Tamandua tetradactyla: one gene and its partners. The protein of the gene in region 3 binds, or shares a complex with, the protein of the main gene of each other region. Links are inferred from orthologs where the notes say so. Each region holds a gene or a part of one and is shown on either strand. Other genes may lie near its edges. The genes, in order: KLHL12, KLHL42 and CUL3.

Evidence for each region.
Region 1: CUL3 (region 3) and KLHL12 share a complex: the UniProt entries of both Homo sapiens proteins name them as parts of the BCR(KLHL12) E3 ubiquitin ligase complex. The link is inferred for Tamandua tetradactyla from reciprocal best matches to the Homo sapiens genes CUL3 and KLHL12.
Region 2: CUL3 (region 3) and KLHL42 share a complex: the UniProt entries of both Homo sapiens proteins name them as parts of the BCR(KLHL42) E3 ubiquitin ligase complex. The link is inferred for Tamandua tetradactyla from reciprocal best matches to the Homo sapiens genes CUL3 and KLHL42.

The regions. Positions count from the first base shown.
Region 1 is NC_135330.1:60,146,373-60,156,586, forward strand, and holds the start of KLHL12 (kelch-like protein 12), read right to left. Parts: upstream 5,965-10,214; 5' UTR 5,894-5,964; coding exon 5,825-5,893; intron 5,486-5,824; exon of another isoform or gene 5,342-5,485; intron 3,898-5,341; exon of another isoform or gene 3,716-3,897; intron 1-3,715. Other genes in the region: ADIPOR1 (adiponectin receptor protein 1), read right to left, coding at 8,470-8,598, 8,933-9,126. UniProt on the Homo sapiens protein: Substrate-specific adapter of a BCR (BTB-CUL3-RBX1) E3 ubiquitin ligase complex that acts as a negative regulator of Wnt signaling pathway and ER-Golgi transport.
Region 2 is NC_135333.1:90,931,767-90,941,980, forward strand, and holds the start of KLHL42 (kelch-like protein 42), read left to right. Parts: upstream 1-3,375; 5' UTR 3,376-3,859; coding exon 3,860-4,731; intron 4,732-10,214. UniProt on the Homo sapiens protein: Substrate-specific adapter of a BCR (BTB-CUL3-RBX1) E3 ubiquitin-protein ligase complex required for mitotic progression and cytokinesis. The BCR(KLHL42) E3 ubiquitin ligase complex mediates the ubiquitination and subsequent degradation of KATNA1.
Region 3 is NC_135329.1:200,348,161-200,358,374, forward strand, and holds the start of CUL3 (cullin-3), read right to left. Parts: upstream 6,056-10,214; 5' UTR 5,939-6,055; coding exon 5,873-5,938; intron 3,598-5,872; exon of another isoform or gene 3,583-3,597; coding exon of another isoform or gene 3,538-3,582; intron 1-3,537. UniProt on the Homo sapiens protein: Core component of multiple cullin-RING-based BCR (BTB-CUL3-RBX1) E3 ubiquitin-protein ligase complexes which mediate the ubiquitination and subsequent proteasomal degradation of target proteins.

The DNA of each region.
Region 1 (10,214 bases), on a different chromosome or scaffold from region 3:
GGTTCCATGTACTTAAGTTGTCCAACCAACTATCTACATAAGTTATATTAGGAGATGTACTAGTGAAAATATAAATTTTGTACCAAATAAACATTTTTGCTTTAGTCTCACACATAAGGTAAAATTTTAAAATATTAATTACCATCTATTTCAGCACCCTACAGTAATGACATTCCTTTGTTCTTCCTCATGCAAAAATATTTTAAAAATTTATACATTTAGTCACTATCATTATATACTCTAGGTATTCCTAGCTTATACCATCTCAATCTTTATCGTGTTTCTTTGTGATTTCATTTATGCCCCCAGTCCTCCTCCCTCTGCCATTCACACATTCAGCCTCATTCAGTGTTTTAACATAATTGTATTACAGTTAGGTAGTACTATGCTGTCCATTGCTGAGTTTTCATATTCAGTCCTGTTGCACAATCTGTATTCCTTCAGCTCCAATTATCCAGTATCTTACCCTATTTCTCCCTCCTGATGGTCTCTGTTACCAATGAAATAGTCCAAGTTTATTCACTAATTTTAGTTTATATCAGTGAGACCATACAGTATTTGTCCTTTTGTTTCTGGCTAATCTCACTCAGCATAATGTTTAAGGGCCATCCATGTTGCTACATACTTCATAACTTTATTCTGTCTTACAGCTGCATAATATTCCATCGTATGTATATGCCACAGTTTGTTGTTATCCATCTGTTGATGGACATTTTGGCTGTTTCCATCTCTTGGTAATTGTAAATAATGCTGCTATAAACACTGGTGTGCAAATGTCCATTTGTGTCCTTGCCCTCATGTCCTTGAGTAGAGACAGCATATAGATGGGTCCTGTTTTTTAATTCATTCTGCCAGTCTATGTCTTTTGATTGGGGAGTTTAATCCATTAATATTTAGTGTTATTACTGCATGGGTAGTACTTTCTTCTACCATTTTGTCTTTTGGATTTTATATGTCATATCTAATTTTCCTTCTTTACCTTTACTGATAGTCTTCCTTTCTACATTCTTCTCCACACCTCTCTCTTCTGTCTTTTCGTATCTGTCTCTAGTGCTCCCTTTAGTATTACTTGCAGAGTTGGTCTCTTGGTCACAAATTCTCTCAGTGATTTTTCGTCTGAAAATATTTTAATTTCTCCCTCATTTTTGAAGGACAATTTTGCTGGATATAGAATTCTTGGTTGGCAGTTTTTCTCTTTCAATAATTTAAATATATCATCCCACTGTCTTCTTGACTCCATGGTTTCTGCTGAGAAATCTATGCAGTCTTATTGGGCTTCCCTTGTAGGTGATTGTTCTAGTTTGCTAGCTGCTGGAATGCAATGTACCAGAAACGGAGTGGCTTTTAACAAGGGGAATTTAATGAGTTGCTAGTTTACAGTTCTAAGGCCGAGAAAATGTCCCAATTACAACAGTCTATAGAAATGTCCAATCAAAGGCATCCAGGGAAAGATACCTTGGTTCAAGAAGGCTGATGATGTTCAGGGTTTCTCTCTCATCTGGAAAGGCACATGGTGAACACAGTCAGGGCTTCTCTCTTGGCTGGAAGGGCACATGGCAAATACGGCATCATCTGCTAGCTTTCTCTCCTGGCTTCCAGTTTCATGAAGCTCCCCGGGAGGCGTTTTCCTTCTTCACCTCCAAAGCCGCTGGCTGGTGGACTTCAGCTTCTTGTGGCTATGTCATTCTGCTCTGCTCTCTCTGAATCTCTCATTCTCCAAAATATTTCATCTTTTATAGGACTTCAGAACCTAATCAAGACCCACTCAAATGGGTGGAGACATGTCATCCCCTAATCCAGTTTAACAACCACTCTTGACTAAATCACATCATCCAGGGAGATAATCTCATTACTGTTTCAAACATACAGTATTGAATAGAGATTATTCTACCTTTATGAAATGGGATTTATATTAAAACATGGCTTTTCTTAGGGGGCATGCTTCCTTTCAAACCAGCACAGTGATGGATTACTTTTCTCTTGCTGCTTCCAAGATTCTCTCTTTCTCTTTGACCTCTGACACTCTGATTAGTAAATGTCTTGGAGTACATCTATTTGGATCTATTCTCTTTCGGGTATGCTGCACTTCTTGGATCTGTAATTTTAAGTCTTTCACAAGAGTTGGGAAATTTCAGTGATAATTTCCTCCATTAGTTTTTCTCCTCCTCCTCCTCCTTTTCCCTTCTCTTCTCCTCCTGGGACACCCACAACATGTATATTCATACATTTCATATCGTCCTTCAATTCCCGGAGTTCCTGCTCATATTTTCCCATTTTTCCCCTATATTTTCTTTTTCTTGCCGGATTTCAGATGTTCCATCCTCTAGCTCACGAATCCTATGTTCTGCCTCTCGAAATCTACCATTGTAGGTTTCCATTGTTTTTTTCATCTCTTCTACTGTGCCTTTCATTCCCATAAGTTCTGATTTGTTTTTTCACACTTTCGATTTCTTCTTTTTGTTCACTCCTTGCCTTCTTTATATCTCCCTCAATTCACTGATTTGGTTTTTGATGAGGTTTTCCATATCTGTTCATATATTCTGAATTGTTTCAGCTCCTGTATCTCATTTGGTTCCTTTGACTGGGCCATATCTTCAATTTTCCTAGTGTGATTTGTTATTTTTTTTTTGCTGGTGTCTAGGCATTTAATTACCTTAGTTATTTTATTCTGGAGATTGCTTTCACTTCTTTTACCTAGGATTTTCTTGGTGGATTTGTTGTCTATCTATTCTTTGACATCCAGTTCAGCTTTATCTGGACCTCTAGCTCAGGTTTTGTTTAACAGCGGAGAATTTTTCAGTTCTTGTTTTCTTGTTTCTTGCCCTGCTTGTACGGTGTCTTCCTCCCACACACACTTAGGAGGGTCTACTTAGTTATTATGGACCCCAGCTGGATTTTCCCAGACCAAACTGGCCTCCTAGCAGGAGGAAAGAGTCACCTGTGTCGGTTTTCCTTGAGGGTGAGACCCAGCAGGTTGAAAGACTTTTCTGTGAAGTCTCTGGGCTCTGTTTTTCTTATCCTGCCCAGTATGTGCTGCTTGTCTGCCTGCTGGTCCCACCAACATAAGATGATGCAGTACCTTTAACTTTGGCAGACTCTCCCTGCTGGGGGCATGGTGGAGACAGAGTAGAGGTTGTAGGCTGGTTTTAATGGCTTCAAATTACCAAGCCCTGGTGCCTGAATTCCTTGAGGGAGGGATTCCACCTGAGTTGGGCTTCACCCCTCTCCTGGGGAAGGCACAGGCTCCAGACAAGCCCTCAAACGAGCTTGTTTCTGCCTATGCCTGGAGCAGTTGCAGACTGAGAAGCCCTGCCACTGTATCCAAAGGCAGTCAGCCTTTGTAGAAACATAGCCACAAAAACCTGTTTCTGGGCAGGCCACAGTGGCTCAGCAGGTAACAGTGCTTGCCTGCCATGCCCGAGGACCCGGGTTCGATTCCCGGTGCCTGCCCATGAAGAAAAATAAATAAATAAATCCCCTTTCTTTTTCCATCAGCCCTGCCCCCTTGGTGCTGGGGCAAAAATGAGTGACCTCCACCTTGATCAGGTTCACCTGAGCTGGGAGCCTACTTTCAGTAGACAGAATTTGTTAATTAATGTCACAATTGGCGTTTGGCTGGGCTCAGCCCCTGCTGCTGGTTAAGTCTCTTTCCTTTCTCCTGTGGGAAGCAGCCTGTGGGGGAGGGGCGCCAGCTGCCACGGCTTGGGAAACTCACGATTCTGGGGAAGCTCGCAGCAGGTCCAGCTGGTCCAGACTGGGGTACGCTGTGTGTCTGGTCACTCACGTGGTCCCAGGAGCTGTTCTGTATTGTTTCTGGTTATTTAGTAGTTGTTCTGGAGGGCGAACTAAAATGCACACATTGCTAAGCCACCATCTTGGCCCTCCTCTGATTTCTTAATACTGAGTGTCCCTACCACCTGACAGTTATTGTCATCAATAGAAACTGTATATTTCCCACATATTTTCATAAGGTTGTTGTCTGAAATGATGAAATGATAAATTCTTTAAAAGTAATATTACAAACTTATACCCATCAGTAGATGATAAGTACTTAGTGAATGGGGATCCCATGTTATATATCTTTCTAGCCCAGCAGGCACAGAGTAACTGTTAGTTACTTGAATGTAAGAATAAACAAAGTGCGAGTTTAACCGAGAGCAAGAAAGGTCAAAGTCAGTGAATATCTTTTTCTAAAGAGGAATGTAAATAATGATTTATGACCTCCAAATATATCTGGGTCTCAAAATAAAATTCAAATGATGACCCAGAGCCTATATCATAAGGGAAACCATGCAAGCTGCCTATGGACTTTTACTTGATGAAGCAACAGAAGTCCTTCAAGAAAAGGATTTTCCTACTCTATGTTATTAGTAAACGTCCATCAACATTAACAAATCAATATTTATAGTAATTCTTCTTTACTCAGAGACCCTTATTTAGATTAAAAACCTATCTGAACACCACTAACTGCACTGCCGTAGCTTGTCACCTTCAGAGTTCATTTTATATGTTAATGAAATGAACTCAATAAATTACACATAAAAAATCAATTTAAGGAGTGCTTTCTTGTCAACAAGGTGTAATCATACTTAAGTTAGCCCCTCATTGCTATCACAAATTTTCATCTACTTCTGTCTACAGGTAGCATGTTATTTTGTAAGCACTGTAGATACTTGTAGAACAACTCTCTGCAATACTCATTTTACAGAAAAGGAAGTGATTTGTGGAAGCATATGATGTTTTTCAAAAAGATTTTCCTAAAATCAACTTAGGTTCAACTGTAGGGCTTAAGAAGGATTTGAACAAATGCCCATTTACTGTGAAGATTTTCTGGGTGGTTATCACAGGCTCAGCCTACAACTAGACTTAGAGTGTCAGTGTCAAAACTGACAGAAACGCTATTGCAGCAAGGTCTTCTTACTTGTCCTTCAAGTTGTCATCCAGCAAAGTCTCAGCCACAACCCTCACGCACAACTTTCTGAGTGACCGTTTCCAGAGCTTCCCTTAAGATGTGAATAGAGGGGTTCAACCATGGGAGATTGGGGACCCGGGGCAAATTTTGTTAGGAATAAAATCGAGGTAGGAGAAAAGGGAAGGGAAAAGAGCTCCCTTCTTCTGACACTAGCATTTTGGCTGGCACCACGAGGTGGAGGGACTAGAGGGGGCCGTGGGGCGCAGTAGAGAGGACGGATACAGCTGCTAAATGCCCCCAGCCTTCCTGCTCCCCAAGGCGTCCCTTCCATTCCTCCCCGGAGGGAGACGACGAAAGGGGGAAGGGCCATACTGGGAGCTAAAAGGTAAGAAGGAACGTGCTGACTGCCTCCAATTCCGTGCAACTCACCTCCACTCCCGAGCCCACCCAGCCGCGCCGGGCCCGTCCCCCGCCCGTGGGGGTGGGGTGGGGCGCGGGGCTAGCAGGCGGCTCAGGAGGGGCCGAACCGCCGCCGCCACCGCCGCCGCCCCAACCCGGAGGCTCTGGAGCGGTCACCGTGCTGGTCGCCGCTCTCTTCACCGCCGCCGCGCTACGTGATGACGTAACGCAGCTGGAAGATGGCCCCCTCCCTCCTCGGGGTCTGCGTCACGTGACCAGCCATTTCACGTGACCAGTTTCTACCCAGATGCCCAGCTTCGGTGCGTTTAGGGAGAGAGGAAACGAGAAAGGTGGCGCTGAATCGGGTCCGGCCCGCAGGGCGACGTACTGCTCTCCAGCTAGGTGATTGGCTGAGGCTGAGCCCCATCTCCCCACGGCTCACGAGGCAGAATAGATTTAGAGGATTCCAAGGATTTGTAAATTAAGGTTCTGATTCCAGGGAGTACGTATTACCTGCCAGCTATTTAGGAACCCTCTCCCATCGAGAAAACCCACAGAAGATTCCAATTTCTTTAGGTCCATTCTCCACAACGACCTTTTCGGGCAGACCTCCACTGTGGTGAGACACCTCTGAGCTCTGCGATTCACAAACCTTCACATTCTCTGCATCATAATGGGGCTACTCATCTCTCCTGAAGTGATTCTGCTTTGCTTCCTCTACCCCAAGACAATTAATTGGAAGGCATTTGTGGCCCCTAAAAGTAGGACACTATCAAGTTCCTACCTCATTTAAATACTAGATACAATGAGGTGCTCAATAAATATTTGTTATTTCTCAGATCCACGTCTCTGGCCTTATTGCTGAAACAATAAGCATACACTAGGCTTCAGCACATATTCCAGACCTCATTACTTCCTCACCTAGGAAGTGGATGGAGTTGTATCAGATGTGTTCCCAAACTTTCCTTCCAGTTATATACTGGTGGTTGCAAACTCAGAGATGACTCCAGAAACCAGGCAGATGACTCCTAAGAGTGAAGCAGGCTAGGTAGGGACAATGAACTACACAAGTCCTCTCTAGAGGACATAGCTGCTACTCAGCTTCAGTCGACTGTTCCCACTGTGCAAACAAAACATGTTTGTAGACAGTTGTGGCCTGCAAGTAACCAGTTTGTGACTTTTGCTAACAAAAGTTTTCTACTAAATATCAAATAGATATAAAACACTTGTATCTTTGAAATATTCAGTGCAATGAATACCCAGGTACCCATCATCTAGTTGGAAAAAGAATGTAAAGTTTACCATTGAAACATGGTGTGTCCCTCTCCTCCCACCCTGTGCCTTACCCTTCAGACATAACCATTATTCTGAATTAACATTCCCCTTTTTAAGATTTTACCATTTGCTTGTATCCTTAAACTATCTTTAGTTTTGCACATTTCTGAACTTTATATAAATGCAACCATATGTATTCATCTGTAAGTTGCTTTCCTCCACAAATTTACTTCTGAATTCAACCATTGCTTTCTCTGTAATTCATTTTCACTATTAGTGTTTCATTATGTGAACTTTAACGACATTTATTTTTCCATTTAACAGTTTTGGACATGGGCTGTTTGCAATATTTTGCTATTACAAGCAGCTGTAATGAACTTTTTGTTTATGAGCACAAGGCATATACTGATGCATATCTGCACAAAGCGGTGACACCAATGTGTACTTTTACCAGCAGCATTTGGTCTGCTCCACATCCTTGTGAATACTCAATATTTTAGGCCTTTTAATTTGTGCCAATTTGATTGTAGGGAAATGCAATATCATTGTGGTATTTTACATTTCTCTATCACCACTTGAGGTTGAGAAACTTCTTGTTCGTTGCCTAGTTGAATTATTTCTTTAAAAACATCACTTGCTCCCTGAGTTGTACAAACTTGAAGTGAATCCAACTTTATTACCCAAGAAGACTTTCCTTCAACACCCTATATTAGCTGAGAAGTAATTACTGTAGGCCTCACTTTATCTATGAGCAGAACTTGAGTATAATTCACAAAGACACAGAAAGGCATTGAATGACCCCTTATGAGACAGCCTAACCAAGGCAGTGTTAATAGAAACTAACTCTAAAATAATATATAGTACACCTTTGATAATTTTAGGAGATCCCAACATCTTTAAGAATCCTCTAATTATTTGATACCATTATAGAATATTAATTTTCCCAATAAAATGTCTTGCAATAGGTAGAGAAAAATAAGCTGCATTGAGGAGCAAATGCTAGGAATTCAGTTAGGCTTATTTCTTGGCCCACATATACCAGTCTGTCAGAGCTCATGATTCAAGTTTATGCCTCAGCAGAATCTGAAACTGTTATATGTCGTAGACCTCTGGAGTATGCAAATAGTTGAAACCTTGAAATGTTAAATCTTTGAATGCCAAGTATCTTCTGTACTTTTCTTTTATTATCGTCATAGTCTGTGCATCAAGATACATAGCAATGATAGCAGGTTTCTTTTTAAAGCTTAGTATTAAATATTAAATATCTTTTCCCATTTTAACTTTACATTACTCTGCCAAGAAAAAAAAAATTAAAACTCAAGTTATTTGAAGCCTGGACATACTTCCATGATTAGCCGGGCTATGTAAAAGTTGGTGGCTTTGATCTTGCTGCTGTATACTCAGATTCAGGCCCTAAAAAGATGGGACCAGGTTATAATTGTTTTTGAAAAGTCTGCTACAAAAATGGATGGCCTGTCATAAGCCAGGTTACAAAATAAGGATTGGGGTAAGGAAGGGACATTTTCTTTCAGAAACAGAATTTCTAAAGAGTCCCAGTTCATCATTTTTTCTCAAAATGGTCTGAGGAGGGAGTAAAATCTCAACATGAGCTTCAAAGTACTGTCTCTTTGAGGGAATGGTAGTTGCCTTACGGAGGGGGAGGGATAAATTGGACTATCCTCTTCCCCACCAACTAGGGGAAATGGAAATGGAAAGTTTATTGCCCAGTGAGTGTGAAAGTGGGCTGAAGCTTTGATGGTAAAGAATTCTCTAAGAGGTTTCTTCTAGAAACAGACAACTCAGACTCTTCCTCTCACTTCAGCAAAGAAGTTATTTTTAAAAGCACTTGGGAAGTTCCTATGCCACACCTCTGGTGGGAAGGCTCAGAGAAGGGAGTCATCAGTACAGCCACCTTCTAGGCCATAACGGAATTCCTGAAGATTGGAGACTCCATAGAAGTGTACAAAGGCAGCTGCCACCACCAGGACATGGAAAATCTGATGAGACTGGAACTGCAGGAATAAAAAAAAAGAAAAGCCTTTAGTATAATGGCAAAAAAGGAGAAGAAATTCTAGTGGGAGAAAACATCTGCCTCTTTCGGTTTCTTTAACAAAATTATTTTTTTACATCATAAAAGTGATATCTTTATTATAGAAAACTTTTAAAATAGTCCTGCTCAAAAGTACACCAAAATATTATTTTTTTACAGTTTTTTCTATGTGTATATACATATGTAATGCACAAACAGTGCAAGATTCCTAAGTCTATTACCACCTTTTTACTCAACCTTTAACTTTACTTTGGCCACTCACCATCATAGTCCCTACTGGAAGAGTCATTTCTTACCCATATGTCAAACTTTCCAGGAAAGAAGCGCTCAGGAATTCGAGCAGCATAAAGGCCAGCTCCAGTGATGTACATCACAGCCATGAGAAAGAACCAGCCCATCTGTCCCACTGTGGTGGCCTTGACAAAGCCCTCAGCGATAGTAAAGTGCATGGTGGGCACAACACCACTCAAGCCAAGTCCCAGGAACACTCCTGATCAAAGCAAACATAAAAACAATGAAAGAGCCACTGTGTGGAAGTCATTGTTATCTTACTCTAGATTCTAAAATGTTTATATTAATTAGCTATTTTTTGGTGAACAGTAAATAGTTAGGAAATTTAGCCAGATGGATAACAGCAGATATTTATTCCACAGCCCAAATGTCTAAGTGCTTATATAGCTATCTTTTAAGGAACACCAAGAACAAACACCTTAAGTTCTTCATTATTTGTTAAAGAGCCTAGGCAAGAATTATGTGAAACTCCTTCATGACTGACTCAGGTACAGAACTAGATTTCAAGGCTTCAGTTGGCTGAATAGATCACCTGGCTCCCAAGCCAAAGAAGAATAAGACACGTTTCCCATTAAAACTATAAGAAGCTGTACATAGCAGAGAAGCTTAGCCTACCTATAGTTATACCTAAGAATCGCCTTTGGAGGGCCTCTTTTGTGGCTCAGATGTGGCCTCTCTTTCTCTCTCTAAGCCCAACTCCGCAAGTGAAACCACTGCCCTCCCCCCTATTCGGGACATGACGTCCAGGGGTGAAAGTCTCCCTGGCAGCATGGGAGATGACCCCCCAGAGGTGAATCTGGCCCTGAAACCATGGCATCAACAATGCCATCCTTACTAAGAGGGGGAAAAGAAGTGTTACAAATAAGGTATCAGTGGCTGAGAGAGTTCAAAATAGAGTTGAGAGGCTACTCTGGAGGTCACTCTTACATAAGCTTCAGTTAGACATTGCAACAATCATAACTTGCCAACCCCTAACCAAAACCATTCCTGCCAATCCTATGGAATACTTAGGGCATTATATAAGATTCTACAAAGGTTCTATGTACTACTGTAACTTTCCAGAAACCTATAGCCTCCAGATGGGTCCCTGGACCAGATAAGTCCTGAAATGCTGAGGGACCAACTTCTTCAGAACATCAACTAGTTCCATCCCCCATTCCATATTAATAACAACCCCTTCCAACGTGAAAAAGTTAGAATGGGCATAGGCCAAATACTCCTAGAGAGTGGGAGAAAAATTAAAAGTGATGGTGGAGTTATACAGAGAAGGTCGGGTTTAACAAATCA
Region 2 (10,214 bases), on a different chromosome or scaffold from region 3:
ACAATAAGTGTTAGTTACTATTATTATACTTTTTTTCCCCAATATTTCATTGTTAAAAGCAATACTGTGACAAATATCCTTTACTTACATATTTTCTGCCTGCTAGGTCAAAAGGTATATTTTCCATAATTTCTTAAAGAAATAGCCTAACTCTATATATGATCATTACTTTAGTCTTTTGTAAAACAGTTAGCAGTGCAAAGTGATTGACTGAAGTGAATCGTAGCACGACAAAGACTAATCTTTATCAATAACAGATCTATAAAACTATTCTTCCAGTTAGATATACAAACTATTTCTATGAAGCCTAAAAGTAATATTTTAGGTCATTTGTGAATAAGGAGTTTATATTGCTTCGATTTTGCATTTCTAGCTTAACGGAAAACTTAATGCGTGAATTATTAAAGTGATATGATCTTTTAAGATGCTCCAGGTGCTGAATTACATTATTATCATGATGGGGACCAAAAAACTTGTGGGATTAGTATTATCAGACTAATAACCAGATTCCCTGCCCAAGCTGATCTTGCCCCAGCGATATTACCATGCTTGAACTGCCTTTTTAATACAGATCCTTTTTTGAGTGTGAATTTTTTGGTCTGGTCTAAAAAGGCAAGAGAACACCAGCCTGAGGCGTATCTATGTTGGTTGGGAAACAAAAGCATTCATTGGTGAAAGATTCTAAAGGGACAATGGAGAGACTGAGACTCTGTTCTTGGCTGACCCACTGAATCTGTCTTTGTCGCTAAATAAGGCACAAATAAATCCCAGGTCCAAGTCTCTTCCATAGAGGGGGCGCCTCCCAGCAAAAGTTCCCAAGCCTACTGCCCAATTCTGCACCTGGCCCTTGATTTGCTAAATGCATGGGCACTCATTCCCAAAGTACCTTAGAATGTCTCGACTGCATGCTCATTGAGAGAAGAAGCATGAGAGGTAGGTGAGAGAGTGGTGTTTTATCAGCAGTGACTTAAAATACAGGTAAAACAAGGTGAAGAGCTGGCATCCAAGAAAATAACTCAATGGTGCAAGTCATAGACCCATCTTTTTTCTTCCTTTTCCTATGGAGGCCATAATCTGCCAGAATTTTTCTGTTTTGTTTTGTTTTTAAATTTCAGTTCCTTATTCATGATGCTATAAAGAAAATAATGGGTGATCAAACTTCACTACGAAGTAGCTAAATTACACAAAAAGAAGCATAAATGTGACCAAATTGTGTTGAAAGGATTTCATGTCTTACTGATAGAATTTTCTTTTCTTTCTCTCTCAATTTTTTTTTTTTTACCCTTCCCTCTTCCTAACATAAAATGTAAATAATCATTGGAGGATGTATGGTCTGCTTGAAATAGGGGACATTTATTTATGAAAAGAATGTTATTTAACGACTTGTCATCCAAGAAGAAAGCAGAAGCTAGTAACTTAAAAAATACAAAAATATATATATTATTGGGATGGGGTGGGGAAACCCTTTGGAAAATTAATCTAAGATTTTTTAAAACTTTAAAAATTTTATATATACACACAAACATGTGTGAGAGAATAGTATAATGATGGCTCATGAACCTATCACCCAGCTTAATAATTATTGACATTTTGTTGATTGTTTCTTTCTCCCTACTTTTTTCCTTATTTTAAAGCAAGTCGCAGAAATTATTTCACTTATAATACTCATGAGTGTAAAAAAAGTTTTAAATGTATAATATTGTGAAATTATTACACCTAACAAAATAAAATTAATAATTTATTAATGTAGGATACAGTTCTGTCAGGCCAGACTTTTCTGTGCCCTGACCATACAGTTAATTATGTGGCTGGCTGTGGACCTAATGGTAAAATGGGGGTTCAAGGATAGGTACTGCCTACTTACTAGCTCTGTGACTCAGGCAGGTCCCATTAGTGCTGTAAAACGAGGGACTAGATTGGATGGCATTTAAGCTTCTTCCTAGCTTGATGATTCTGCCAAAATACAGATGATTAAAAAAAATTAACGGCAGACAATATCATCAGAATATGTGATGCAAGGGACGTTATGTTAAGGAAAAATGGCGTTATACTTAGATCTAGTTTTGCTTGTTCACACTAACGATTTGAAGCCATTTGTTGATTCCTTCTGATAATCGCGTTCCATAATTGTGGAAGTGAAAAGCATAATTTAAGAACTCGAGAAAGAAAAAGTGAAATCATAGGCACTCACCTAACCTGATACTCATTCTAACGTGAGGAAAAAAATCCATTAGTAAACCACTGAGGAGTGAATGTTACCTCCTGGTGAATTACCCCCTTCCTAACATGAAATGTTAATTTGTATTATTGGATGTATATTCTGTTTGGACTAGGAGAAATATATTTATGAGGAAGTTATTATTTAATAGTTTGTTATTCAAGAAGAAAGCTGAAGTACGGTAACTAAAAAGGAAAAAAAAAAATCCAAACCCAAATGCCTCGCACGTTAAGAACTATACTAGTTGGCCCTCAAATCTTGGTTTGGGGGACGTTTCCAAGAGTTTTTTTTAAGAGAAGAGTGACCACACCCCTGGTGCTCCCTTTCAAGCATTACCCTTCCTACCCAAAGGTAATTTAGTAATTTCCATTCTTCCCCCATCCCCCCTCCGCCACCTTTTGTGGGATTAATTCGCATTTCATGAGCAATACAAGGGCCCTTCCTATTAATGGGATGAGCTTTACATTTGCGATGCTCAGTGAGAAAAGACAAGATGGTCTCTCTTCAAATACTCCTCAGATTGCTGGGGGAGGGGGAGTGTGAGCAAAAGCCACCAGACTTGATGCCTAAAGATAATATTTGTAATGGCTAATCCGGATAAATCGAAGTAGGAAAAGCAATGGTTGTTAGAAAGGTATTTGTTGGAAAATAATATATGATAAAAGAAAAAAAGGAAGTGTAATCTAACTTTATTTACTTGAATTATACTTCAGTTTGTCTTCTAACAGCATGAAGGTAAGAGGGGGGTCCCAGCAGCAAAGACAACTTTCCAACCCAGTGCACCGGGCGCGCTGAGCCCTGCAGAACCTGCTGCCATCTGCCCGGGCCTTCTGCAAGATGGTTCCTATACGATGACCACACCGAGGAATCAACTGGGTGTCATGACGTGTCCAGAGACTGCGGGTGTACCTCCGCCCTCTAGAACACGGCGCTGGGCTGGCCCAGATGAGCGGCCCCAGCTTTGATGTTTTTCGTTCTCTGGACCCCAGACTGCCTTTGCCTTCATCCGTTCTCTTCCACGCCCGTTTCTTTTTTCCCCTCCGAAGCAGAGCGAAAGAAAACACAAAGTGGGTTCATCTCCCTCCTTTCCCACCCAACTGGTGCGCACCGGGCGGGCCGGGAAGCTGCGGGGACGCGCGTCCGACCTGCTCCCGCCGCCCGCGCGTCGGCATTCCGGGCGGGCGAGGCCTGCAGCCTTCCAGCTCTCGCCGAAAGCCGGATCCAGTTCGCAGGTCTAGCGGGATGCAGGGGTCCTGCGGGCGGAAGTGAGAAGGGAGGCGTGGGAGGAGGCTGCAGGCTGGGGGTTGGGATACCCTCCCCGACTGACGCTGTCGGGAGAGTCCAAGCAGGCACCGCGGCCGCCTCCCGACGTCGGCGCGCGCGAGCTGGGCCTTTTTTGGCGTGGAGGGAGACGAGAAGGGCCGAGCCGCAGCCATCGGGACAGGAGGAGGGGCTGCTTCGGAGGCTCCGCCGAGACCCAAATAGGCCGGGCGAACGCGGGAGCGGGCGGCCCTTCGCCTGCCTCCTCCTCCCGGACCCCATCCCTCGGTGAGCCCAACCCGGAACCCGGAGAGCGCGCGGGGGCGGGGAAGACAGCGCGCAGATCTGGCGGGAACCCAGTCAGCCCGCAGCCCCCCAGTCATGTCGGCGGAGGAAATGGTGCAGATCCGCCTGGAGGACCGCTGCTACCCGGTGAGCAAGAGGAAGCTCATCGAGCAGAGCGACTACTTCCGCGCCCTGTACCGCTCCGGCATGCGCGAGGCCCTGAGCCAGGAGGCCGGCGGCCCCGAGGTGCAGCAGTTGCGCGGCCTCAGCGCCCCAGGCCTGCGGCTGGTGCTGGACTTCATCAACGCCGGCGGCGCCCGCGAAGGCTGGCTCCTGAGCCCGCGGGGGGAGAAAGGCGGCGGGGTGGAGGAGGAGGAGGAGATGGACGAGGTGAGCCTGCTGTCGGAGCTGGTGGAAGCGGCCTCCTTCCTGCAGGTCACGTCCCTGCTGCAGCTGCTTCTGTCCCAGGTGCGGCTCAACAACTGCTTGGAGATGTATCGCCTGGCGCAGGTGTACGGGCTGCCTGACCTGCAGGAGGCCTGTCTGCGCTTCATGGTCGTCCACTTCCACGAGGTGCTGTGCAAGCCCCAGTTTCACCTCCTGGGGGCTCCTCCCCAAGCCCCAGGGGACGTCAGTCTGAAGCAAAGGCTGAGGGAGGCCCGGATGACTGGGACTGCGGTCCTCGTGGCCCTGGGAGACTTCTTGGGGGGACCCCTGGCCCCGCACCCCTACCAGGGGGAGCCCCCGTCCATGCTCAGGTACGAGGAGATGACTGAACGTTGGTTCCCGCTGGCCAACAACCTGCCTCCCGACCTGGTGAATGTCAGGGGTTACGGGTCGGCCATTCTGGACAACTACCTCTTTATAGTGGGCGGGTACAGGATCACCAGCCAGGAGATCTCTGCCGCGCACTCCTACAACCCCAGCACCAATGAGTGGCTCCAGGTGGCCTCCATGAATCAGAAGAGGTAAGCGCCCCAGTGCAGTGCTGCTGCTTTGCCACTCATTCATGTGTTCAATAACGCACTCCGCTAGTGTTTACAGAACAGTCACCGGAGGCTGTGCTGAGGTAGAAATGACATCTTCAGGAGTGTTGCTGGCCTCGATACTGGCAAAATTCCCAGTGAATTCAGAACTTACAAGAAGAGGCTCCAATGGGGTCAGCCAGCTCAATAAGTTTCCTTGTAGGTGTTGCGCCTTTAGGCAGAACGGCCTTCTTTGCCTCTATTCTAGGGAAAAAAAATGATGTGGTTTCCTAGAGTATACTTTCTAAGGCAACTGCTTTTTTTTTTGTTTTTTGTTTTACTTTTTAGGATCTAATTCTCATTATAATGACACACTAGGCAGTAGCCATTAATCTTGATATGGGGGATTTTTTATTTTTCGCAGTCAGTGGTTTGAAGTCCTACACTGGAGCACCAATCCAAGGTCAGGAGACAGATAATCATTAGAGTTTTATACATATTAATTATTTGGGCTTTCCTTTTATTATTTTTTATCCTCTCTTTTGCTTCTTCCTCTCAGGCAGCCATTGCCATTGACTCAAAGCTTGAGCCTTGCAGGAGCCACCTACATACAATATTGGAATGTTTCTATCCACCCCAACCTCCTCTTTTCCCATCCTGCATGTCCTTCCACCATGAACATGGTGACTTGAAGAGAGAAAAAGAAGAGGAGGAGCTTGAGGGGAGTAAAAGCAGGGAAGGACCAGCAAAAGAACAGAAACAATGAGCACAAAGAGCAGATAAAGGAAAAGATGGTAGGAAAGAGAGCTGGTAGAGCCCAGGATGGCTCAGCCATTCAGAAGTGGGAGAAGAAGCAATGCAACCCAAGCAAGGATAGGAATACCCTTTCTTTTGGTCCACGTGTTTCCATCTCAAGTCCATCATTGTCCCTACCCTGAAGTTTGAAGCATGGAGCTCAGTGACCTCATAGGCAGGCCAAGAAAGTCTTAGCAGGAATGAGGAGGACTGGCTTTATTCCTACTATAATATAAAATTCATTTTGCAAAGTCCTCCTTTTTTCTGATCATAATAGAAATTATTATGGAAAAATGGAAATGAATGAAGAAGTAGAAAGACTGTCACTCCTACTTCCTCCTCCTAGAGGTAATAGCTATCTACAGTTGGCATATGTACTCCCAATCCTTTTTAAATGCATTTTTTTACAGCATTGAGGTGATAACATATTTAAATTTTGATATCAGAAATATTATTTTTAAACAGAAATTCCAATTAGGGTGGAAGGCTCAGTAGCTTCTCTGTTCTCTCTAACTTTTCAGTTGAATCAGTTGGTTCTCAGCATGCCATCCCCAGCTCCACAATTCTAACAACACCATACAGAGTTCATTTCTTTTTTTTTTTTTAATCTTTACAAATCTATAGTAGTCTTTTATCCCCCCTCCCCAGGAATGACCTGTCTGTCTTTAAAAAAGAACAAAAAAAATCAAATAATGCATGCATATATGCTTTTTGGAAAAATGAAAATGAGATAGAAAACTATAGAGTAAAAAGTATAAGTGCATTTATAGACATTTGGTATATTTTTAAAATATATTCAAAAGCTGTAAATATATGTTTATATAAATAGATTATAAGTATGCTCATTGTGGTTAACAATGGGGAAATGTATGTGTATATACATGGATACTTGGGTGGTGTGTATATACCTTCTCCATAGTTTTTACTCTAAAATTAATTCTCATTATTATGGCACTTGATATTTCCACTTATATAGTGTATCTGAAAGATTTTTCTATGTCGACGAATGTAGATAGATCTCATACTTTTTAATGGCTGTATAGTATTCAAGCCTATGGATATACCTTAATGTGTTTAGCTATTCCCTTGTCGCTTCCATTTGCCATTATAAGCAATGCTATATTAAACATCCCGGTATGTATGTGTGCATTTTAATAGACATATGTGAGCTGGTTACATATGGCAAATTCCTCGAATCCCTGGTTAGGTGGGACAAAATGTATGCACATTTAAAATCTTGGTAAGCTACTGCCAGATTGCCCATTAAATAATTGTTCTAATTTCCCCTCCCACCAACGTTGTTTGAGCTTGCCAGTTCCCTGTACTCTTGCCAAGACAAGATATTATCATTTTTTTAGAAATTTTTTGCCAATTTTATGAGCAAAAGCACTCATCTTTCCCTGATTAGAATAGACACTTTTTTTTCATATGTTTATTGGCCATCTGCATTTCTTTTGTAAATTACCTGTATCAACTTAAAAAAAATTGGCTTATCTTTTTCGTATTCATTTGCGAATGCAGGTATTAATCTTTTGTATTATGTAATATTGCACATATTTTTCTTCTGTCTTTATTTTATGGTACGGTTCAAAACTAAAATGCCTGAAGTGACCTCATAGGAAAAGTCAGTGAAAGGACATGTGGGTGGGAGTGATGGTGAAAGAGAGAGCTACTACCCCATCCAAAGAGACCACCAGCGAGTGCCAAATGGAAGTAGGAATTTGATGGTATTGCCACATCTGCTTTTGTATGTGACATCAAAACAAAAACAGAAACATAACACTTTGTGAATCAGAGTACAGCCCAGAACTGGCCTCGTAGGCTTTCTGGTTTTGAACTTAAGTTTTGTTGTGTATTCTTGGATAAAGAAATTAAAAAAATGTTTCATAGTCAACATTGTGATGTGTGTCCTGTGAGCATAGTATCTTGCATTGGGGGGCTTTTCCAGGGCAAGGGCGTGAAAGTCCTCACCTGTATCATGTCCCTATACTTCATAGTTTTCCTTTTTTACATTTAGATCTTGAATAGATCCCTAACTATAGGGGTTTATTTTCATATAAGGTACAATGGACAGTTATAACATTTTTTCTGTCTTAATAGCTCTGATTCTTCTGAAGGCAATTTGCAAAAGCAGTGTCATATGCTAATTTTCCTGTTTCCAAATTGGCAGATTAGCCATTTCTGCGTCAATAAATTTTTTTAAAAATTACTGTCACTTGGTAGTGTATTTATTGTCTGGTAGAGCAAGAAGAAATACCTAATTGTTCTTTTTTTTTTTCTTTTGTTCTTTTAATTCCGTTTGCTATTTTTTGCACATTTTCTCTTTCAGATAAATTTTAGAATCAGCTTAACAAGTTCTGTTAAAAAGACCTGTTGGGATTTTGTTTGGAATTATATTGTATTTACAGATTAATTTGTGGGAGGATTCACATTTTTATAAAATTTGGTAGCTAGAAAATTATCTTTTTTTTGAGTAATTAGGTCTTTGGAATTTTTTGGTTTACTTTCTTATCTTTGTGACTCAGGTCTTCCTGAACTTTCTGCTGGGCTAAGTGCTCCAAGTTTGTGCCCCTGTAGCATCTCATGCCCACTCCTCACCTTGAATTGAAATTTTCTCCATGTTTGTCCCCCTTGCGGTCCTGAACTATGACTTAACAAGAACTTATTTACAGGGTATGTCATTTTGTTGCTTTGGGCCTTATTGTGCTTTACAGATATTGTGTTTTTTATAGATTGAAAGTTTGTGGTAACCTTGTGTCGAGAAGATCTAGTAACACCATTTTTTTCACAGCATGTGCTCACTTGATGTCTCCGTGTCACAATCTAATAAAGGTATCTACACTTAATAGACTTCAGCATAGTGTGAATATAACTTCTATATCTACTGGGAAACCAAAAAATTCATGCGACTCACTTTATCGTGATATTCACTTCATTGTCATAATCTGAAACCAAATCTGCAATATGTCTGAGGTGTGCCTGTTGATTTGGTTTGTTAAAGTTGCTGGAATGCAGTATGCCAGAAATGGATTGGCTTTTATCAAAGGGATTTATTAAGTTACAAGTTACACTTCTGAGGCCATGAAAATGTCCAAATTAAGGCACCAGCAAGAGGATACCTTCACTCAAGAAAGGCCGATTGTGTCCAGGGCTTCCCTGTCACGTGGGAAGGCACATGGTGACGTCTGCTGACCCTCTGTTCCTGGGTTTCTTGGGTTTCAGTTCCTGGTTCCAGTGGCCTCTCCGAGCCTCTGTCTGTCTCAGAGCATCTCCAAACATCTGTATCTTGGGTTCATCTCTCTGTTCTCTGTGTCAGCTTTGACCTGAGCTCTCTCTATCTCTCCTTGAACTTTTTTCTTTAAACTTTTTTTTTAATTGTAAAATACAACATGTATACAAAAAAAGCAACAAATTTCCAAGTACATTTTAACAAGTTATTATAGAACAGATTTTAAAGTTTAATATGGGTTATCGTTCCATGATCTTTTGTTTTTGTTTCAGATGCTCCATGACACTGGAGACCAACAGAAATATCAATGTAATGATTCAGCAGTCACACCCATTTGTTAATCCTTTCTTCTCTGTGATACTCTTCCTTCTCTTTAAATAACATATATACATAAAAGCAATAAATTTCAAAGTACATCGCAACAATTAGTTTTAGAACAGCCTTCAGAGTTTGGTATGGGTTACAATTCCACAATTTTAGGTTTTTCTTTCTAGCTGCCCTAAGGTACTGGAGACTAAAAGAAATATCAATATAATGATTCAGCAATCATAGTCATTTGTTAAAACCTACCTTCTCTGTATAACTTCAATATCAACTTTTATCTTTCTCTCACTCTTTAGGGGTATTTGGGCTATGCCCATTCTAACTTTTCTGTGTTGGAAGGGGCTGTCGATAATACGGGATAGGGGGATAAAACTAGCAGATGTTCTGAAGAGGCTGGGCCCACTGCATTTCAGGACTTACCTGGTCCAGGGAACCATCTGGAGGAGATAGATTTTGGATAGTTACCCTAGCATGTGGGATCTTTGTAGAATTTTATATAATGCCCTTGGTATTCGTTAGGATTGGCACGAATGGTTTTGGTTGGAGTTTGGCAAGTCATGATAGGTAGCAATGTCTAACTGAAGTTTGCATGAGAGTGACCTCCAGAGTAGCCTCTCAGCTCTATTTGAACTCCCTCAGCTACTGATACATTATTTGTTACCCTTCTTTCCCCCCTTTTTGTCAGGACAACATTGTTGATCCCACAGTGTTGGGGGCAGACTCATCCCTGGGAGCCATCTCCCACACCGCAGGGAGACTTTGGTTCTTGGATGTCACGTCCCACGTGTTGGGGAGGACCTTGATTTCACTTGCAGAGCTGTGCTTAGAGAGGCTCTCCGGGAATACTTTTAAGGACTCCAGAAAACTAAGACCCATCTTGAATGGGTAGGGTCATACCTCCATGTAAATAATCCAATCAAAATGTCCCACCCACAATGAGACTGTACCCACAAGATTGGATTAAAAGAGCATGGCTTTTCAGAGGTACATAATAGTTTCAAGCCAGCACACCTGTATATTCCTACTTCTGATACAGTGTCCAGTGCATAACAGGTACTTAAAATACATGCTTTATTTTGAATTGTGGCATATATTTTTACATTATTTAAATAAAAGTGAATGTATACTTTTATATTCT
Region 3 (10,214 bases):
TGTCAACTAAAACACTGCTGAACAGCAGAAGTTAAACTTGAAAGGCATAATTAATCCTTAAGAGCCCTCATTCTAGAGTCTGTCTGGGTTAGAATCCTAGTTTCAAATTATTTAACCTCTCTAGGCCTCATCTGTAACAGGTAATAATAGTGTTCCATACAGTTGTCATGTGAACAAAATGAAATAATATACACAGGAAACAGCGTCTGACACATGCTAGGGATTCAATAAGTGTTCGATATTATTATTACTTCCTTTCTGGATGTAAATTTGACAATATATATCAGTTACATTTAGTCCAGCAATTTCATAATCAAGGTTGGGCACAACTGTTTATGTGCCTAAATAGTCAAATTTGCATTACTTATAACAGGGAAAGTATAGAATCCAAGTACCAAGCAGTAGGGAAAAAGGCTAAGCAAACTGAGGTTCTGTGGAGTATTACAGAGTTACTTAACAACCATATTTTCAGAAATAAAATTCTACATGAGAAAATATACACAGTAAGATATCAAAAAAATGGCAGTATATAAAATATTATACCTCAGTTTTACTGGTACATGCATGTGTATGAAAGACTAAAAGGAAATATATCAAAATGTTAATATAGCTTATTCCTAAACTGTGATTTTTATATACTTCCTTATAAATTTAGATATTTATCAAACTGTCTGAATTTGCATCACTTTCATAAACAGAAAAGCTACCAAAATTAATCTATTGCTTTGACAGACTATATTAGAATAATTTTCACCATACATTGTAATAGATTCAGACCAAATGTAATTTATAATGCATTTCAATGATTTACTCTTACTAGTAACGCCAATACGTTTTTGCTGACCTTACTTAGACAAAGAAGAACTATTTCCAAAAGCTACATTATTTAAAACTATAAATGGTTCAGTAATTTTTACAAAAATCTAAAACTGCTAAAAAAATCCATATAATCTTGAATGAAAATAAGAAAAAATTACCTCTAAGATCTTCCAATTTTTATTAAAGGGAATGTACCTACTTTCTCCAGTCTTAAATACATAATCTTCCAGAATTAGACAAATGCTACTATTAGCTATATTTCAAGACTGAGTAATATACAAACAAACGAAGCTTTCTCTCTTTTACTTGAAGGACTCAAACTTGTGACCAATGTGCAAAAATGCCAAATTTTCACATAATATTTACTACCAAAATAGTTTAAAATTAATATTGGTACTAATAATTTTCCAGTCTCCCCTAAAATGCTATCTAGAAAGACAATGCAAAATAAACACTTTATAGATGGTTCCTAGTCCAGATAAACCCAGAAACCCTGAGTTACCAAGTCTCTCCAAAAACATCAGCCACTTACATGTCCCTACCTCTTAACGTTGACATCCCTTTTCAACATTTAGTATTTAGAATAGTCATTGCCCAAATATCCCTAAAGATTAGGAGAAGGATCAAAGGAGCAGGAATCATAATAGAAAAGATTTGACAAATGACATGACTACTAAAAATCATTATATTAACATTTCTTTTTAGTCTTAGAGCAGCTAAAAGGAAATAAACCCATACCACACACTTAAATTTTTTCTATAAAAACTACCTGTTAAAATGTACTCTGAAATTTACTGCTTTTTTATAGATTACATTTCACAACTAAAAAAGTAAAAAACAATAATAATAATAATGGGAGGCATAGGACCTTCTAATTGTTATTGGAAGAGCACAAAGTTTTCCTTATTGAATGTTCACAGGAAACAAAATTAGCGGAAAAAATACTTTATAGATAACTAATTTACACTCCTTGAATTTCCCAACTTCTAAAGTCAGAGAAACAGCTACAACACAGCCTACTCTCCCAGAACTATTAAACAAGAAAATCATTAACACTTCAATGCATGTTATATCTTATTCCAAAATTTCCCTCTAAGTAAGTATACAGAGAATGAAAAACAAATTTATAGCTAATTCTATTACTCAGCTCTCCTACCTATATAGTTCAGATAGTTCTAGGTAAAATTTCTCTTCCCTGAGAAAGAGAAACCTATTATGAAGATTAAAGCTGTTTCCCAAAATCTGGGAAATATCACTATAGTTAGAAAAACAAAACAAAATAATTCACTATCCCCATTTTATTCTTAGACTTTTCTTCCTTTTATCTTAAATCTCATTCATTGGGTGGTACACCAGTAGCTCAGTGGCAGAATTCTCTCCTGCTCTGCTGAGACCGGGTTCGATTCCCGGAGCTTACCCATGCCAAAAAAAATATGAAAAAGAAAAAAGAAACTCATTTATTTCATTAATATCAATCCTCTGTGGGTTCCACCAAACAAAACCACATCATTCACTGTCCATACTCAAAGACTACTCCTTATAGAGCTCTTCTAGAATTATGCGGTGATTTCACAAAAGGAGATCTTTTCTTATCATGATTTAGCACACTTTTATTAACTAGTACTTGAAGTCATTTCCAGGGTCTCAAGATAAAGGTCTTAAGAGCCTGATCACCTTCACTCATTTTCCTAATGTCTTCTGAAGTCTGAAGACTGAACTAAGAATGACAAAACCACAGTGGACAGCTTTTTCATTCAAACATTTTCGTTCTGATAGCAAAAAACTTTCATACCTTTGTGGACCCAAACTCTAACAGTACAGATGGGCGAGGTATGGCTTTTCAAAGATAGGGACAAAATGTTCATCCTACAGTAACCAACCAGACATAGTGAAAGAAAGACTCAGGAGTAAGACACATGCAGGCAGCAAGGAAAAGAGTAGGGATTTCTTGGGGCAGCATTATTTGGTTCAAACCCATATGACTTTTTACAACTATAGCCTGCTGCTTCCTTATATGTTTTGTGGCCTTGCTCTGACTTTAGGTACCAAAAAAACATTTCTTAAAACATTAACACAAATGAAATGACAAATATTTTGTACACTTCAAGAAAGCTTACAAACCAGAATAAACTTATTGTCAGCAGTTTACAAATACATAAAGTTCCTTGTTGCTTTTCATCTTTAAGAGAACCAGTTTCTCCTGAAATCTTACGAAAAGGTCTACTTCAAAAGCAAATAGTGCATTAAATGGTGGTACGATAAAACTTTCACTCTTCAGCACAATCATAAAAGCACACTTTAAGTATGCACTCAAATCACTAAAAAGCACCTGACTTTACTAAGTAGGACTATACCTAGAGTCCACCCACACATCTATACAATATATTTGGTAAGTTCACTCACCACTCCATTTTGCAATGAAAAAAAACGTTCGCAAAATATATTTTCATAAATTCTGACACATCAATTTTGTAAAAACATCATTAGTGAGCACTTGAGACTTGAGGGTAAACTATAATTTCCTTTAACTTCTAAGAAACTATATGGCCACATGGTATACGTAAAACCCACTAGCTGTAAGTATACCACACAAACAATATTTTTTTCTTTAAGGAAGGCTATGCATTTACTACTTCTGACTAGTGACCCATGAAGACTGTAGTTAGGTAGTCAAGGTTGCTAACCTGGAAGAAAAAAAAAAGAATATAAGTACTCAACCACGAGAGGGTAAATCAGTTGAACAGCATTCACAGAAGCATGCATCTGTCCTTAATGAAGGCTCATGGAACTATGAATTAAAAAATAAATATTAAAAAACAATGATTCTTTTCAACAGGAGCTACTTCCAAATAGCTTACTTATAAAATAGTAATGAAAAAACTCCCGCTTTTAAAAATTAGATTTTTTTAACTACTAAATATCAAACCTTGCAAACTTTTATTAAAGGATTTTAGAAAAACAGGACAATAAAGTATAGACAGAAAGGGTCTAAATTAGCTCATAACCATACAGCACTGTAAATAACATTAAGTAGAATCTTAAAACATTCATAATTAAACCAATTCCAGTACTATTTGTGAACCTATCATCACAAATATTTGTCAGTTAAAGGATAAAGAAAATTCACTTCCATCGAAGCCCTGCAACAATACACGTTCCAGAAAGCAGAGATCTTGGTCTTCCAAGCTATACAGATTTACCCCAAGCCCCTAGAATAGCATGTGGTTCATATACTCAATAAACATTTGCTGAATGAAAAGAGGGGGAACAGGTAAAAGCAGGCAAATCTAGAGATCAAACAGTCGGTAAGTAGGTAAAGGTGAAAAGAGAAACAACTCTTTAATCAGTATAATATTATCGTAACAGGTGAGTTGATGTTAAATATGAGCTACTCCACATTTTAGCAACAAATCTCAACTAAAAGAGCTCAGACTTCAAGAAAGAGCAGTTTTAAGATAGTAAACACTTCCTAGAAAATGTGTTGTCCATTTAATTGACAAAAGTCTGAATAGTTCTAAACTCTGCTAAAAAAGGTCTTAGTAGGAAAACGTTACTCACAAATTCATAAATCCAGCTCTTTGCCCCATCACGAGAAAAACATGCCAGTTACATTTGTACTCTTACCAACATTTCTCATGTTCTAATGCAATTTCTCACATTTGCTTAGGGAATAAACTTTAAAAATTCAAAACCCGTTTAAACAGTATCAAAACATGTAATTCTCTAGAGTACATCCTACCTTTATTTACATAGTCTTAAATTTCTAAACAATGACATTTCAGATTTCTGCACCAGTGTATTTTCTTTTTCTCCGGGACTGTTACTCATTCAACTACGACAATTATATTAAGTTTTTTCTCTCTGCAAACAGTGTACTTTAGAAAAAGCACGCTTAAAAAAAAAGTACAAATGTCCTTCCTTTCTCGCTCACCTGATGTACGTTTATGCTTTTAAGAAAGGAAAATCAAGATCTTTCTCTAGTTTGACTTTTTAAAATTAATCCTAGTTCAACTGCTACTTTGTCTATCCTGTCGTATGCCTGTTACCGTAGCGACAAGAGCAAGTATGTCCAGTTTCTGTTACAGCAGCGCATTTTAATTGCTTGCCATTGGCTATCTGAATCAGATAGGAAATCAAAAGTTATACCCTATCTAACCAAACGCCGCAAGCGTTTGACTCAACGCGATACATAAAAACAAAGTTTCTAAACATAATACATCTGCTGTCACTAAAACCGATAGAGTAATGCAACTTAGGGCAACGACTATTCATTCGTTTGGACTTCCAAGGCTGGGAAATCGAGGACCAATTGTCCAATCTGTTCTCTCTTGCTTCCCCTAGTCCCTGGTGAGGCAATTTCTGCACGAGAGAAATTGTGAAGTGCTTTGGACGGTTATGGGAAGAAAGATGTGATAAATACACGGATTTATTAGCATATTACCATCAAGCATTACGTGGAACCACTGTCACTACATCGAGAGTAAGTTGATGGCCCATAACCCTTCCTAAGGAGGGAATAGAGTAGGAGATAAAGAAAAAGAGAGAGAAAGGATAGTCCCCTATCACCCTAAAGGCTTGGCCGTCTTTTAGGATGGGTTATTTCTTAAGACGCTGCAAATCACACGTGAAATTTTACACACACACCCCATACAAGGAGGACTACGATACTCCCCATCCCTGCTGGGCTGGAGTCCCAGGAAACGAGCGGGGAGAGGAGTGCCTGGGTTTGGGCCTACACCCCAGTAATGAGGGGAAGTGTTGGGACCAGCGAAGGGGCTCCGGCCGCAGCCGACGCCCGTCGACCGGCTGGCAGCGCAGCTACGGGGCGTGGGGCAGGGAGCCGGGCCTGGGCACGGGGAACGGCCCAGGAGAGCGGCCGCGCCGGGGCCCTGCGCCGCCCGGTTGCCTAGAAGGCTTGCGCCCCGCGGCCGGCGGGCGTGGGGGGAGGGGAGACCGGGCCTGCGGCCTGTTGGGGGACTTCAGCCCGGGCCTCGCGTGCGGCTTTCGGCCGGAGCTCCGGCCCCGGGGTCCCGGGCGCCGAGGAGGTACTCACCGGAAAGGCCCGGATACGCATCTTGGTGTCCTTCCGGCTGCCCGTGCCTTTGCTCAGATTCGACATGGTGCTCGTCCCCTCCCCGGCGGCGGCTTCAGGTCGCACTCCGAGCGCCGGTGTCACATTTAAGGCGGGCGGGCAGGCGAGGGGCGACGCTGGGGGCGGCGGCGGCACGGCCCCCGGACTGGGCTGGGGAAGCTGGCCGGCCCCTGGGCGGCCGCGGCGGCGGCGGCGGCTCGAGCTCCGACGGCTCGGGCTCGGCTAGGGGGCTGCGCTGGCGCGGCGGCTCCGCGGGGTGCCCCTCACGCCCGGCTCGGCTCCCTTTATCGCGCTCCTCCGCGATGGCGGCGGCGGCGGCGACGGACAAACATCTCACTGCGCAGGCCGAACGTCCTCCTCCTCCTCCTTCTCCTCCTCCGCCTCAGCGAGACGAGATCCGGCCCAGAGGGTGGAGGGGGGAGGAGGGAGGGAGGAGAGCCGGAGAGTGGAGAGATTGGGGGGAGGGGGGGACGGGAGGACGGGAGGGGTAGGCAGGCGGCCGCGGCGGGGACGCTCAGATCTCGCGAGAAAGGGGCGAGCGCGCTGCCCCAGGTGGGGCGGCACAGAGCCCGGGAGCGGGAGGGTGCAGCGAGAAGGGAGGAGGGGAACCGGGAGTTGCAGAAATGGGAGGGGCCGCTGGGGCGAGGAGCCGGGGAAAGAGGCGGGGCTGAGGGCGGAAGGAGTTAGCAGCCTTCTCCACAGGCGAGCGTCGGAACCAGGCTCTGGGCAGAGGTGGTTGCTGATTGGTGGGGCGCGGGGGTGTTCTGGTCACGTGGGCGAAGTGGGAGGGGGAAGTCCGGAGAGCGGGCGCGGCGGGGAAGTGGACAGCACGGGGTTTGGCTGGGTGGGCAAAGGCTAGTCTCGGGGAGGAGCGTGGGATGCTAGGTGCATAGCTACGTCCTAGAACTGGTTCCTGTGTTTTTCTAGGGCATGTGTACTAGGGATGGGTACCTGGGTAGAAGCCAGAAAGCCGAAAGAGTTTGTGCCAGAGTGTCCTGCAGTGTCGGAAATTAGGGTTCTGTATGCTTAACAGAGTATTCGTACAGGTTGTGCTCACCGAGCTCTCAGGACTTAGTGGTGAAGGTGTTAATCCGCAACATTTCCTTAAATTGAGGAAGCTCCCAGACTCTGAACTCACTGACATTTTCTGGGGACTAAGGGCTTATTGGTGTTAAAATCTGTTTTTCGTTTCCGTTGAAATACAGTAACTCCCTTAGAGTAGTGCCATAGTTTGGAAAATAGCATTAAATGGAAGATAAGAACCTACCTTTAACCTGTCAAAACATTTTTACCATTACCAAGAGCATTGTAGGTATTTAAAACCAAAATTATTGTCTTTAACTCAAGCTGCTGTAAAATTGAAAGGTTTTTTTTATCACTGTACTCAAAACACTTAGTTTTGACTTGTCCGTTTTGCCTTTTCATTCATTTTGAATTTTACTTCCTGATTTTACCTACTTGCTCAGTTATTGTTATATTTGGGTTTCAGGCTCTGCGGAGGGATGTGTGCATTCCTACTAAAGTATTTGATCTTCACAATTCTTGGAAGGGGCATCTACTTTGGAAAACCGGAGTTTTAATTGTTTTATAACAAAACCGATTAAGTAAACTCAAGTGTGCTTTTTTTAGTTGTTAATTTACGGTTGAATTTGCCCTAAGTTAACATAGTCCTGGTAACTACCTTGTGAGTATGCTTTCAGCCCCTACTTGGTTGACACGCCCCATTGGAAATGTATTTTCTTGTTTTTGATTTTTGCTATTAACCTATCAAAGCAGGAGCTTAAGAAATGAGGGTGTTGCTTGAGGCAATATCTGAATAAATACTGAAGCTAAAAATAGGTCATCAATAACTGGGACAATAAGGTAAGATTGGGAGGGGCTCTGGTTTAAATATCAGATAATATAAATCTTGGATAGGAGTTTATAATCTGTGTGCTAATTGAGCCATCATTTCCATGATCATTAGAATATGAAAACAGCCAGTGCTTTCCTACTGGTGTACTGTCATGTGGCCCAGTTTCTTTGTAATATTGCTTTGAATCCCAGCCTTGCCATTTTACTGGCTGTGTTATGTGTATTTTGGGACAAGAACTTGTGCCTAGAGTTCCTCATCTGTAAAACTGAAATAATAATAATACCTCCTGTTTGGGCTGTTAGCAACTTTAAATGACTTAATACATTTTTAAAAGCCCTGAGAGCAGTGCTCATCAGCTACCCTCTTGGTATCTTGCTTATACTCACAGATAATGGTTTATCTTCTTTTATTTAATATGTGGGTTTCTAAAAGGTACATGTATGTTTTTTTAAAATGTTCATATTTTAAAACTAAGCCAGGCTTCAAGACATAGACTTCACAAACTAGTAAAATATTTTTCAAAATATTAGGAAACGGATGTAGGATTAACAACTTTAATTTGATAATTATGGCATTAGAAAAGAAAAACTACCACAGATTATCCCATCAGTTTAGTAAAGAAAAAGCATTTTAACCACTGAAAGAAGGAAGGTCAATTTTTTAGTAAAGAGCTGTTCTTTACATTGATTAATTTAGCTTTATGAAAAGCAACACATTGTGCTGATTTTTCTTATTCCACTGTAAACCTGAGAAAACTTCATACTCCAGCATTGCATCAATTGTTTTGTGAACCCAGTTTTTCTTACCTTGCTTTTGCTTATGCAAAATTTAGCTGCACTTAAGAAGAATCTTTTCAGCTATGTCTTCTGTTAGGCTTTTAAGCACACACACACACACAAAACAGAAAAACTTCAAAATGAATTTGTCTGTCACTGCCATTAAGAAATCCACTACTCATTCATGTGTTCATTTATTCTTCCGTTCAATCAAGATATGTTTATCGAATGGCTACTGTATGTCAGGCACTAAGGTTAAATGACAAATGAGACCTGCCTTCACAGGACATATAGTCCTATTCACATTCTCAGGATTTGGAAACCACAAACCCATGAACCATTCAGCAATAGCTTTATGTACCCTACGGTCCAGAAGTCAGAAATGTCCTTTCTTAGGAACGCAGCATCCTTTAAATATGTATGACATAACCCCTAAAGTAGCAGTAGACTATTCTTTTATGCCCACTGATAGTCCCTGATTCACAAATAGCAAATGAACTTTCAGGATATTAGCTTTGCTATACAGTTACAGAGAAAGCAGGGCTGGAATAGGAACTCACTAGATCATGCATGCCTGCCAGTTGGAGTTGCTACTTATGCTGACTGTGTCCTGACGTGGGAAAATGGTAGCCCCATTTCCATTGATTTGTATGGAGCATGTGCATAGCAGTCAGGAAGGGGACCTGTGGGCCAGCTCTCTTTCTACACCCCAGTCTGTGAATAGATAGAATGGGCTCTGAAGAGCCTGTGAAAGGGAGTAGCTTCTACTTACTTAGCTGGAAGTTTTAGGTATCTGGGATACCACTGCACTTTAATCACTGTGTCAGACTGCTGATTTGATTATGCAGATATTAAAACAGCTGACACCAATTAAATTAGAAAGATCTGTTCGGTGTATTTGAATAAGGAAAGACTGTGTTAGGAAAAGATGCATGTTTTTCAAATTGGAAGGGAAAGATATAGATTATAAATATTATCATTTCCTTGAAAGCAAGAGCTATGTCTTCTACTTTTTTTTACCTTGTCTCCACCAGACAATTAATAAGCATTGCAGGCCGTTGGACGTGGCTTTGTATATATTTAAGGTAGATGTATGCTTACAAGCTTTGTAAGATAACATGTTAATGGGGAGAGAGTTCCCCATTAAGAACATAACCACAGATACTTTGACCGATTTATTTATTTATTTATTTGTTTGCATGGGCAGGGCAGGGAATCGAACGCAGGTCTTCAGTATGGCAGGCGAGAAGTCTGCCTGCTTAACCACCGTGGCCTGCCCAATCATAGATACTTTAAATACATGAAAACTGTACGCCTTCTCCATGTACCTTTTCTTCTTTGTCTTTACTGTTTTCCTTATATCATTGAGACAAGAAGCATGTGAAACATGAGCATATGAGACAAGCTGCATCCTGAACAAAAAGAAAAATCATAAATGACTAATTACATCATAAAAGCCCATCTCTTAATTTTTCTTCACACGGTCAGGCTAAAAAAAAAAATAATAATCTCCCTGGCAGCTCTGGAAAGTTTCTAGTTGGCCTGGACAGTGTTGTACTTTTACCCAGTAAATTAATATTTTGGCGATAAAAGTACCTACGTACAAAACTAACATAAAAAAAGGAAAAAATACTAACATAATTTAACAATATAAATTCTAAATTAAAAATTA